Cricetulus griseus: one gene and its partners. The protein of the gene in region 1 interacts with the protein of each later gene in a pairwise test. Links are inferred from orthologs where the notes say so. Each region holds a gene or a part of one and is shown in the gene's direction. Other genes may lie near its edges. The genes, in order: Atn1, leukocyte receptor cluster member 8 homolog and Siah1.

What was found.
Region 2: the proteins of Atn1 (region 1) and leukocyte receptor cluster member 8 homolog interact in a two-hybrid assay, tested with the Homo sapiens proteins (2 studies listed by BioGRID and IntAct). The link is inferred for Cricetulus griseus from reciprocal best matches to the Homo sapiens genes ATN1 and LENG8.
Region 3: the proteins of Atn1 (region 1) and Siah1 interact in a two-hybrid assay, tested with the Homo sapiens proteins (2 studies listed by BioGRID and IntAct). The link is inferred for Cricetulus griseus from reciprocal best matches to the Homo sapiens genes ATN1 and SIAH1.

What each region holds. Positions count from the first base shown.
Region 1 is NC_048601.1:21,659,150-21,662,688, forward strand, and holds part of Atn1 (atrophin-1), read left to right. Parts: intron 1-364; coding exon 365-2,355; intron 2,356-2,516; coding exon 2,517-2,739; intron 2,740-2,991; coding exon 2,992-3,539. UniProt on the Homo sapiens protein: Transcriptional corepressor. Recruits NR2E1 to repress transcription. Promotes vascular smooth cell (VSMC) migration and orientation. Corepressor of MTG8 transcriptional repression.
Region 2 is NC_048602.1:22,407,016-22,410,762, forward strand, and holds the start of leukocyte receptor cluster member 8 homolog, read left to right. Parts: upstream 1-1,179; 5' UTR 1,180-1,321; intron 1,322-3,691; 5' UTR 3,692-3,746; coding exon 3,747-3,747.
Region 3 is NC_048596.1:162,344,250-162,347,996, reverse strand, and holds the start of Siah1 (E3 ubiquitin-protein ligase SIAH1), read left to right. Parts: upstream 1-1,205; 5' UTR 1,206-2,413; coding exon 2,414-2,612; intron 2,613-3,747. UniProt on the Homo sapiens protein: E3 ubiquitin-protein ligase that mediates ubiquitination and subsequent proteasomal degradation of target proteins.

The sequences.
Region 1 (3,539 bases):
GAAACCCTGTCTTTAAAAACACAAGCAAGGAAGAAAAGAAACCAATCATTTGGGGATAGCTAAAGGAGACCAGAGATGAGAGTAGGGTACACATGAGATGGCAAGAAGGGTCTGCGGCAAGAAGGGACAGTGTTTGAGATGGGCCCTAGAGAAGGACTGGAGTTTGACAAGGAAGGGAATAATCTGAGTATTAGGAAGCAGCTGAGATGTGGGTGAGGGAGATGCTAGATGACAGAAGGTGGCCCTGAGCAAGCATCCCCATCACACAGCAGTGCTGTGAGGAGGAAATGACTGTGGGAGATAGGTTTGGATCCCTGGAAAAAGGGAGAGGAAAAGAGGAAAACTGAGCCCTCTTCCCTGACAGCAGGAGCTCCCTCGACCACAGTCTCCCTCGGATCTGGACAGCTTGGATGGGCGCAGCATTAATGATGATGGCAGCAGTGACCCTAGGGACATAGATCAGGATAACCGAAGCACATCCCCCAGCATCTACAGTCCTGGAAGTGTGGAGAATGACTCCGATTCATCTTCCGGCCTGTCCCAGGGCCCAGCTCGTCCCTACTACCCACCTCCACTCTTTCCTCCTTCCCCTACACCGCCAGACAGCACTCCCCGACAGCCAGAGCCTGGCTTTGAACCCCATCCTTCTGTGACACCTACTGGATATCATGCTCCAATGGAGCCACCGGCATCTCGATTATTCCAGGGGCCACCTCCTGGAGCACCTCCCCCACACCCACAGCTCTACCCTGGGAATGCTGGTGGAGGAGTTTTAACTGGACCCCCTATGGGTCCCAAAGGGGGAGCAGCTGCCTCTTCAGTGGGTGCCCCTAGTGGAGGCAAGCAGCATCCGCCACCCACTACCCCAATTCCAATATCAAGCTCTGGGGCCAGTGGTGTCCCTCCCACAAAAACACCTAATGCTCCAGTGGGTGGGGGGAACTTACCTTCTGCTCCACCCCCGGCCACTTTCCCCCACGTGACACCAAACCTGCCTCCTCCACCCGCCCTGAGACCCCTCAACAATGCCTCAGCCTCTCCTCCTGGCGTGGGGGCTCAGCCAATCCCTGGGCATCTGCCCTCTCCCCATGCCATGGGTCAGGGCATGAGTGGACTTCCTCCTGGCCCAGAGAAGGGTCCAACTCTGGTTCCCTCACCCCACCCTTTGCCCCCCGCTTCTTCTTCCTCTGCCCCTGGACCCCCAATGCGGTACCCATATTCATCCTCCAGTGGCTCTGCAGCAGCTTCTAGTTCCTCCTCCTCGTCTGCCTCCCAGTACCCAGCGTCCCAGGCTCTGCCCGGTTACCCTCATTCCTTCCCTCCACCAACAAGTATGTCTGTCTCTAATCAGCCACCCAAGTATACCCAGCCTTCTCTCCCATCCCAGGCCGTGTGGAGCCAGGGTCCTCCACCACCTCCTCCCTATGGCCGCCTCTTGGCCAACAACAACACCCATCCAGGCCCTTACCCTCCTACTGGGGGCCAATCCACAGGCCACCCACCAGCCCCCACACATCACCATCACCAGCAGCAGCAGCAGCAGCAGCAGCAGCAGCAACAACACCATCATGGAAACTCTGGGCCCCCACCACCTGGAGCGTATCCTCACCCCCTAGAGAGCGGTAGCTCCCATCACGCACACCCTTATAACATGTCACCCTCCCTGGGGTCTTTGAGGCCCTACCCACCAGGGCCAGCGCACCTGCCTCCACCTCATGGCCAGGTGTCCTATAGCCAAGCAGGTCCCAATGGCCCCCCGGTTTCCTCCTCTTCCAACTCTTCTTCGGGCTCTTCCTCTCAAGCCTCCTACTCATGTTCACACCCCTCCTCATCCCAGGGTCCCCAAGGGGCAAACTACCCCTTCCCACCAGTTCCTCCAGTCACCACCTCCTCAGCTACTCTCTCTACTGTCATCGCCACCGTGGCTTCCTCGCCAGCAGGCTACAAGACGGCCTCGCCACCGGGGCCCCCGCAGTACAGCAAGAGAGCCCCATCCCCGGGGTCCTACAAGACCACCACCCCGCCTGGATACAAACCGGGGTCACCGCCCTCCTTCAGAACAGGGACCCCACCTGGCTTTCGGGGCGCCTCTCCGCCAGCCGGCCCTGGGACCTTCAAGCCAGGCTCACCCACCGTGGGGCCAGGGGCCCTGCCACCTGCGGGGCCCTCCACTTTGCCATCCCTGCCTCCACCGCCCGCGGCCCCAGCTCCAGGGCCGCCCCTGACTGCCACGCAGATCAAACAGGAGCCGGCTGAAGACTATGAGACCCCGGAGAGTCCGGTGCCCCCGGCCCGAAGCCCCTCTCCTCCTCCCAAGGTGGTGGACGTGCCCAGCCACGCCAGTCAGTCAGCCCGGTGAGCGGCCGAGGGCTTGGGAGCGGGTGGGCCTGGGAGCGGACGCCGCAGGGCGACAGGCGGGGGCCCCGCGCCCCTCGGTCACCGTGCTGTTAGGATTGGGGACAGCAGCTGGTGGGGGCCGCCTGCGGGGCTGGGGCTCACACCTCCGCGCCCGGCAGGTTCAACAAGCACCTGGACCGCGGCTTCAACTCGTGCGCGCGCAGCGACCTGTACTTCGTGCCGCTGGAGGGCTCCAAGCTGGCCAAGAAGCGCGCCGACCTGGTGGAGAAGGTGCGGCGCGAGGCCGAGCAGCGCGCGCGCGAGGAGAAGGAGCGCGAGCGCGAGCGGGAGCGCGAGAAGGAGCGCGAGCGCGAGAAAGAGCGCGAGCTGGAGCGCAGTGTGGTGAGTGCGTCACAAGGTGCGCCGCGCGCCTCTCCCGGCCCCGGGCTTCGCCGCTCCGGTCGCTTCGCCACCTGGCGGAGGGGAGGAGCCACTGCAGCCCAGAAAGCTCGGGCTTCCAGGCAGGAGGAAAAGAAAGCTGGGAGTGGGGTGAGGCATTTTGGCTTTCCACCGCCGAGCCCCGTGCCGGGCGGCCTGGGGTCGGTGACTTTCCGAAACTGCAGTTCTGACTCCGCTCCCTTCCGTGTTCTGCAGAAGCTGGCCCAGGAGGGCCGTGCGCCGGTGGAGTGCCCATCTCTGGGTCCAGTACCCCATCGGCCTCCCTTTGAGCCTGGCAGCGCCGTGGCTACAGTGCCCCCTTACCTGGGTCCTGACACTCCAGCCCTGCGCACTCTCAGCGAATACGCCCGACCTCACGTCATGTCTCCTGGCAATCGCAACCACCCCTTCTATGTGCCCTTGGGGGCAGTGGACCCGGGGCTTCTGGGTTACAATGTCCCAGCCCTGTACAGCAGCGACCCAGCTGCCCGAGAAAGGGAGCGGGAAGCCCGTGAACGTGACCTCCGTGACCGGCTCAAGCCTGGCTTTGAGGTGAAGCCTAGTGAGCTAGAACCCCTGCATGGGGTCCCCGGGCCAGGCCTGGATCCCTTCCCCCGACACGGGGGCCTGGCTCTACAGCCCGGGCCACCTGGCCTGCATCCTTTCCCTTTTCATCCGAGCCTGGGGCCCCTGGAGCGAGAACGGCTGGCGCTGGCAGCGGGGCCAGCCCTGCGCCCTGACATGTCTTACGCGGAGCGGCTGGC
Region 2 (3,747 bases), on another chromosome or scaffold:
CTTACTTTTAACCAATAAACCGTGGTGAATCCGAGGTGGTAGCAATAGGGGAAACTGGGCACACACTACACCTAACTCCTGTATTATCTCTGCAACTTTTTTCCCCTGTAAACCCAAATTTATTCTAAAATAAAAGTTCATTATTAAAAAAAACACGAAAGAGACACACACAGAGAGAGAGAGAGAGAGAGAGAGAGAGAGAGAGAGAGAGAGAGAGAGATGGGAAGAAACCCTAGCGTGCTAATAGTAACAAAATGATACAAAGCTATTTGTGTTGCATAGTTGCCAAAAGTCGCCAGTACCAACTGGGAGCAGAAGCCGGGCTGTAAGGTACTGTTTCATTGACTGATTTTAACAGGGATCCCCTACTGGGACGGCACAATTCAATCATTGCTGTTGTAAACTGAGAGCTTTAAGGAAAGCCTATTGTGAGCTGGGCGTTGGTGGCGATGCTCGCCTTTAATCCCAGCACTGGGGAGGCAGAGGCAGAGGCAGGGGGATCTCTGTGAGTTCGAGATCAGCCTGGTCTACAGGGCGGGTTCCAGGATAGGCTCCAAAGCTACACAGAGAAACCGTATCTCAAAAACCAAAAAATAAAAAGACAAAAAAAAAAAAAAAAAAATCCTACTGTGAGCCGGCTCTGTAGGCTTCCTCTCCCTACACCTGCGCCCCAGCTACCTTTCCGGCGTCGCAGCCCCGAGGCTCCTCCGGCTCCTCAATGGATGGCTTGTTTCCCGCTTGCTTGGGCTCGCACTCACTGTTGCCCACGCCAGCCAGGTTTACTCACTCAGCAAAGCCTACCGGGTGGGGAAGACTCATCCCCAAGACAGACTCAAAGACTCATCCCACTCCTTTAAACACAGACAGACAGACAGACAAACAAACTAAGCCGTGGCGCTGCACAGCTCACGACTAAAGACTAGGCTCCAAACTAGACCGTCTTAACCGCGAGCGCCCGCGGCGCTTGTCCCCACGGGGCCGCCGTCCACGCCCCGCTTCCGGCTCGCCCACCAAACGCCCACACGCTTGCCCGGGCGTGGGCGGGGCGCGCCGGGCGGAGGGCGGGGTCCCCGAGCGAGCCGTGACACCCCATTGGCTGTGCGCGGCGCCGGGTGAGGGCGGGGGCGGGGGCGGGCGGGCGTCGGGACGGCCGGAGGGCGAGGCGTCGCGGGGCGGGGCGGGGCGTCGCGGTGACGCCATCGCGTCGCGGCCAGGACGTTGCAGCCCCAGCCGAGCCGGCCGGTGACCGAGCGCTTTTCGCGGTTGTCTTGTCGCCGCCTTGGTGGCCGCCGGTGACGAACCCCGGGAGCGAGCGGCCCTGGTGAGTGTGAGGAGCGGCGGGGACGGACGGGCGGGCGGGACGGGCGGGCGCAGGCAACTCCTCCCGGCGCCGCTCCCGGCGAGCCCGGGCCTGCTGGGGGAGCCTAACCGACGCCGCACCCAGCCTCCGCCAAGGGTGTGGCCGCCGCGCATGCGCGCTGTGCGGTGACGGGAGGGGGGGGAGGGGGTTGAGGCGGGGGGGGGTCGGGCGAGGCGCGCGCGCGCGTAACCGGCGGGCCCCTCCCCCTCGCCGCCCCCGCGCGTGCGCACACGCGCCCCTGGGCGGCCCCGCCCCTCCCCATTGACCGGCTGTTACGCGCGCCGCCCCGTTGCCCCGGGCAACCCGGAGCGAGGCCCTCGGGCGGCGTGGTGGTGCGCAGGCGCGGCCGGGCCGGGCTGGTGGATGCTGGCTGCTGCTGGCTGCTGGCTGCTGGCCGCGGACGGGCGGGGACCGGGGCTGGCAGCTTGGGGGGCGTCGCGTGGGTTCAGGGCGGCCTCTGTCTCCTCCACCGGGTGTCGGGGACCCCCGTGCCTGCGGGACAGCCAGGTGCTCCTGAGTCTTTGTAATAAGAGCCCGTGTCGTCCTTGCCCGTCAGACCCCTTGTCCCCCTCCCACCCCAGGCCTCACTCCTGATGCTCTCCCGCCTGCACCCCGAGTTCTGACACCCCCACCCCCGGCTCCACCCAACAGTCATTTGTTTATTTATTTATTTAGAAAGCTCTCTGAGGCCTGTCTATTTATTTATTTATTCAGAAAGCTCTCTGAGGCCTGTCTTATTTATTTATTTAGAAAGCTCTCTGAGGCCTGTCGTATTTATTTATTTATTTAGAAAGCTCTCTGAGGCCTGTCATATTTATTTATTTATTTAGAGAGCTCTCTGAGGCCTGATTGATTGATTGATTGATTTAGAAAGCTCTTTGAGGCCTGTCATATTTATTTATTTATTTTAGAAAGCTCGTTGAGGCCTTTCAGCGCTCCTTAGGCTTCCTGTAAGATACCGGGTTCTTCAATGGACTTATTCTCTGTAAATCCTATCGTTTGGGTCCCCGGAGCCCCCCTCCCCCCAGTCTTTTTCACGTTTCTTTCAGGACTGTCCACCGTCCAGTCCATGTACACACAACACACACACACACACACACACACACACACACACACACACACACACACACACACACACACACACACACACACACACACACGTACATAGTCCTACCCACAGGGGCATCCTGGAAGGAAGGAAGGAAGGAAGAAAGGAAGGGTTATCTGCAGACACCCTCCCCAAGGGGTTGCCTGTTGTTTCTCCCAGAGCAGCTCCTGTGCCTAGGAACAACCCATACTGGGTTTCCTCTCTGTCCTCTGGGGACTCGAATTGCTTGAGGTGCTGACAGCCAGTGCCTCCTTCCCACAGGGAGAGCCTTCCCCACCTCCCCTTTGTGAAGCTCCTCAGTGGGATCCAGAGAGGTCCCTTTCCTTGGGGGAACTTGGCTCTGTTCTCCAGTGTTCTCCTCGAAGTCTCCGCTCCATGCTCCTTAGAAACTTGAGTCTTGCCAGACTTCTGGATAGCTAATACTTTATTGACTGATTATTAAGACTTTACTTGCTGGGATGCCTTCCTCCCACCGCCACCAGCCCAGAATCCCTGTCAAAGCCCAGGTGGTGGTGAGGCAGAGGCAGGCGGATCCATGTCAGTACTCTGGGGATTCTCTTTAGATCCCTGCCCAGGACTGAGGTCTCCCCATCCATCCCCGGGCCTGGGTTCCCCTCATCTGCTCTTCGAATGACAGTTTCACCATCTCCTCTGTCTTTTATTCTGACACCCTGTGTTTTAGGGAATTCAGTGTCTTCATGCTCAAGGCTCTTTGTTCCACTCTTTTGGCTGTTTGTTTTAGAGACAGGATTTCAACACTTGACCAAGCAGGGCCCTCAACTCCCAAAGAGTGCTGGGATTGCAGACATAGGTTACGGTGCTTGAATTCTCTTTCACACTTTGCCAGTGCTTCCTTCTGTGAGATACTCTGTCTTTCCTGCCTGTTCTTTTTATGGGATCCAACATACTCGCTTCTTTGGGTCTTCCTAACTCATCTTTTTTCTTTTCTTTTTGTTTTTTGTTTTGTTTTGTTTTTTTTTTTTTTTTTTTTGTTTTGTTTTTTGTTTTTCAAGGCAGGGTTTCTGTGGCTTTGGAGACTATCCGGGAACTAGTTCTAGTAGACCAGGCTGGTCTCAAACTCACAGAGATCCCTCTGCCTCTGCCTCTGCCTCTGCCTCTGCCTCTGCCTCTGCCTCTGCCTCTGCCTCTGCCTCTGCCTCCCGAGTGCTGGGATTAAAGGCGTGTGCCACCAATGCTGGCCTAACTCATCTTTTCTCTTACAGACAGTGAAAAAGCAGTCTGGCTCCCGAGGTCTACCCCCTACACCCCAAGGTCCAGA
Region 3 (3,747 bases), on another chromosome or scaffold:
CTTGAGGTGACACTTACCCAGTAAAGAGAGATGGGCGAGCAGGGGAAAAGGGAGACGGTAAGTGTCCTTGGTAGAGATCCAGACAGATGTAGCCGGTGGAGCTGCGATGTGAGGCCAGTGTCCAGGTGGCTGGGTTCCTTGGGAGATGGAGAAGGCCCTAGGAGTCAGAGATACATTCATGGCATAGACAAGGACAGGCGTGGTTAGAGCATGTGGGCGTTGGGGGAGAAGTAGTGAGACAGCGGACTCTAGAATTTGGGGTCAAATTTGATAGATGACAGGAGTTATTGGAAACAAGTGATCTCTACAAACCTTAGGAGAGGCAAATCAGCAGCTTGATTCAGAGCAGCCCAGGTACTTGGAAGGGAGCTCATCTATGCCATTCCCGGCTGTGGGTACCGGATGAATGAAAAAAAAATGAAATTAAAAAGGAAGGATATGACTGCTCCTAGGTATGGTGGAGGGGAGGTTTATTATAGATAAAAGGGAGAGCATAGCCAGAGGCAGGGATATCTAGGAGAGTCCAGAGTGAACATGACCCTGAGCCAGGTCATGTTAGGAGAGAGGAAAGGGGGGGAGGAGAGCCAGGAGAGTACAGGATAGACAGTGAGGGTGTGCATGTAACCAAAAAGGCTGGATTATATAGGGAAGGGCAGCTCAGCCCCTGGGCTGGAGAAATGTAGGGTAGGAGGTGGGGTGTGCCAGCCATACCCTGTAACAGGTAGGGACTGAGGGATGCAGGGAAAACCTGGCAGCCAAGTCCAATTTGTATGTTAAATAAGCACCTCAGTTAACTACGTGTCTTCGGGGTTTAGACCTCACATCACTCATCTATAACCCTTAGCATTGTAACTTTATAATAAACATGTAATTTCTAAGAATTTTAGGGAAATTAAGGGGTGAGCAGTCTTGGTATTCTACCTTTTTATTTTCTTTAAATAAAGAGTGCAAGACTTAGAGAGATGGCTCAACAGATAAGAGCACTTGCTACTCTTTTGGATGTTTTTCAGTACCTAAATAATGGCTCATAACTGTCCAAACTCCAGTTCCAGGATATCCTATGCCCTCTACTGGCCTCTGCTGGCATCATGCATGCAGGTGGTGTATATATACACATGCAGGCAAAACACCCATGCACATTAACAAATGTATATGAGCTGGGGACATAGCTCAGTTGGTGGAGTGCTTGCTTAGTTTTTCCAAAGGTGTGGCACCACACAAAACTAGGTGTGGTGGTGAGCAGTCCCAGTACTCACTGGAAGTTGGTGAAAGCTGGATTATCAGAAGTTCAAAGTCATTTTCAGACTCTTAGAAATCAGTGGTAGTCTAGGATGATTGAGTGAGTCCTGCCTCCACAAACAAAAATTCTCCCAAAAGAACAACAACAAAATGTGGCTAAATGCCCTAAAAATGTTGTGACAAAATTAAAGGCATTAATACTATTTATTTCCTTTTAGATAATAGCTATTTAAACTTAATGCCAAAATAGGCTTGATGTGCAATTTAGAATGTGTAGTTTATATTTCTGTTCTTAAAGCTGTTTGTTGTAGTCTAGTATTAAACAGTTAGGTGGAAGTGATTGAATACAATAAAGGTGGGCAAGTGGTTGGAGTTGAAGTTGCAGAAGGTGTGTGAAACCCATTGTATTGGGGCACTCACTGCCAGTTTCTGGTTGTATTTGAAGATTGTCCTAAGTGTGATGTAATACCAGCTTAAGCTTTGAAGATTCAGCTGACACCATCCAGGTCTGAAGTGTATAGGACTTTATGGGCCAAGGGTAGTGCTTGTTTAAAAACAAGGCAAGCTACTCTAGTTTAATGAGGCCAGTTAAGAAAACTTTCCCAGAGTGGGATGAATATATAACCTCAATTTGGAGGTAGAAGTGGAGGTTTACATGCCCTGAGTGTGTTTACATTCTCACTGCACTGGAAGGGGGCATTTGAAATAGATTGGCACACAAGCGGCAGAGTTAGAATTGAGGAAAATAGTAGTTGAGGCCTGGAAATATTGAGTGAGTTGTGGGGGGGAATGTTTTTCTTGAGAATTCACAGGACAAAGCTGACATTAGGAGTGCTTGCCTGGTTGCGCATTTCCCTTCCTCCCTGTGTGTTTCTTACCCTAGAGACTTAGGAAAGCACTGAGATCCTGACCTCCGGAAACATGTTCTACGGGACTTAAGTGCTGCCAAGTGCACAGGCTTCATGTTGCCGTGGCGTCTGCCAGAGCTGTCCAGGTGGTCTGTGGGGCGGGGCTTGGAGCGAGGTCCGCCCCTTCTCGAGGCCCTGCCCCAGGGCCTGCCAGGTGGTGGAGCCTAAGCAGCAGGACGCCAGAGCTGCTGGCCATCTTCTGCTGACCACCCAGTTTAGAGTTCATGGGAGGTGTTGTCTCTCCTGGGGACAGGTCTTAAGACTGAATGGAAGTGAGCAGCCTTCTATGCTTAGGAGCCAAGGGCCTTGCAGGGTCCTCTGGTGCAGGCTGGCCTTGTGGCTTGCAGGAACCTGACGCCTCGATTCTTATGACCTGGAAGCCGCCCGAACCCCTTCTGCATTCCTGGAAGGGAGTCCTGCTCGCATGCTTGCCGACAGTTAGGACCAGGACCAGGAAGAGGAAAGGTACTGACGTAAACACATCTGTTTCCGAGACAGAAACTGGACTGCACGAATCCATAGATTCTGGTTTAGGCTTGGTGAAAGTCGGCATTGAGGGCTCAGTGGAGCTGTGGCAACTCCTGCTTAAATCTAGCTTTTCAGGTGTGTCCAGACTTCTGTGGACTTGTCCTTGGTTTCTACCTTGCAGCTGCTTGTGGATGAGAGGCTTTGTGGCTCAAGATGGAGCCACACTCCATCCTTCTAACTAGGGAATGGTGTAGCAGTTATCTGTGCTGTCATACTTCCAACCACATTTTGTTTATCATGCTGGGTAGAATATCAGTGTGCTTTCTCTAGTGTTTGGAAGGCAATAAAAATACGATGTAACATGAACCCAAACTTACACTGATAAGTGTTAGAGGTGTTTTGCCAGGTCAAAGCACTGGGCTAGTGTTTTTCTTCTGAACTTGGCTATATTGTGTTTAAATATAAACTGAGCTCTTTGATGTGACCGGAACTGTTTGTTTCGAGAAATCACTTTCCAAAATCTGTGTTCTTTTAAGTGAGCCACAGTTAACATGGTGAAGCAGATGGGAAACCCATGGCTTTGGTAATGCCAAGGCCATTGACCTAAAGTGGATAAATCAGCTGCATAAAGAATTTGATCAGGTGGAAAGTAGAATACAGAGGGGCCATTTTATTATGACACCTGGATCACAGGGCTTCAGATGATGAGAGCTAATTCATGTTGTATTCCTCCATGAGTCTGAGCTGTTGTGGTGGAGTTTTGTCATACTGTATGTGTTGGAGATGAAACCAAGGGATATAGGCAAGCTAAACATTTGTTAGTACTGTTTTGCCCTTTGAACTTGCTAGTATTGCTTTAGTAACAAAAGAAAAAAAATTAAACCTCCAGTGCTGCTCTTAGCCCCCTTATTTACAATGTTACTGTCTACTAAAATTCCATTTGTATTGACTTGGTTACATTTGTAACTTCAGTTTTTTTGAAACTTAAAGGTCTTTGCAACAGAGTGATTATAACTGGGAGAATTACTATATTATTTAGTGTGGTCTCAGGGAGTGCACTATTAGGACATTGATCTTTTGTCAACGTCTGAGATAAATTGCACCCTGCCAAATTCCCCAGAGGCAGAGTCCT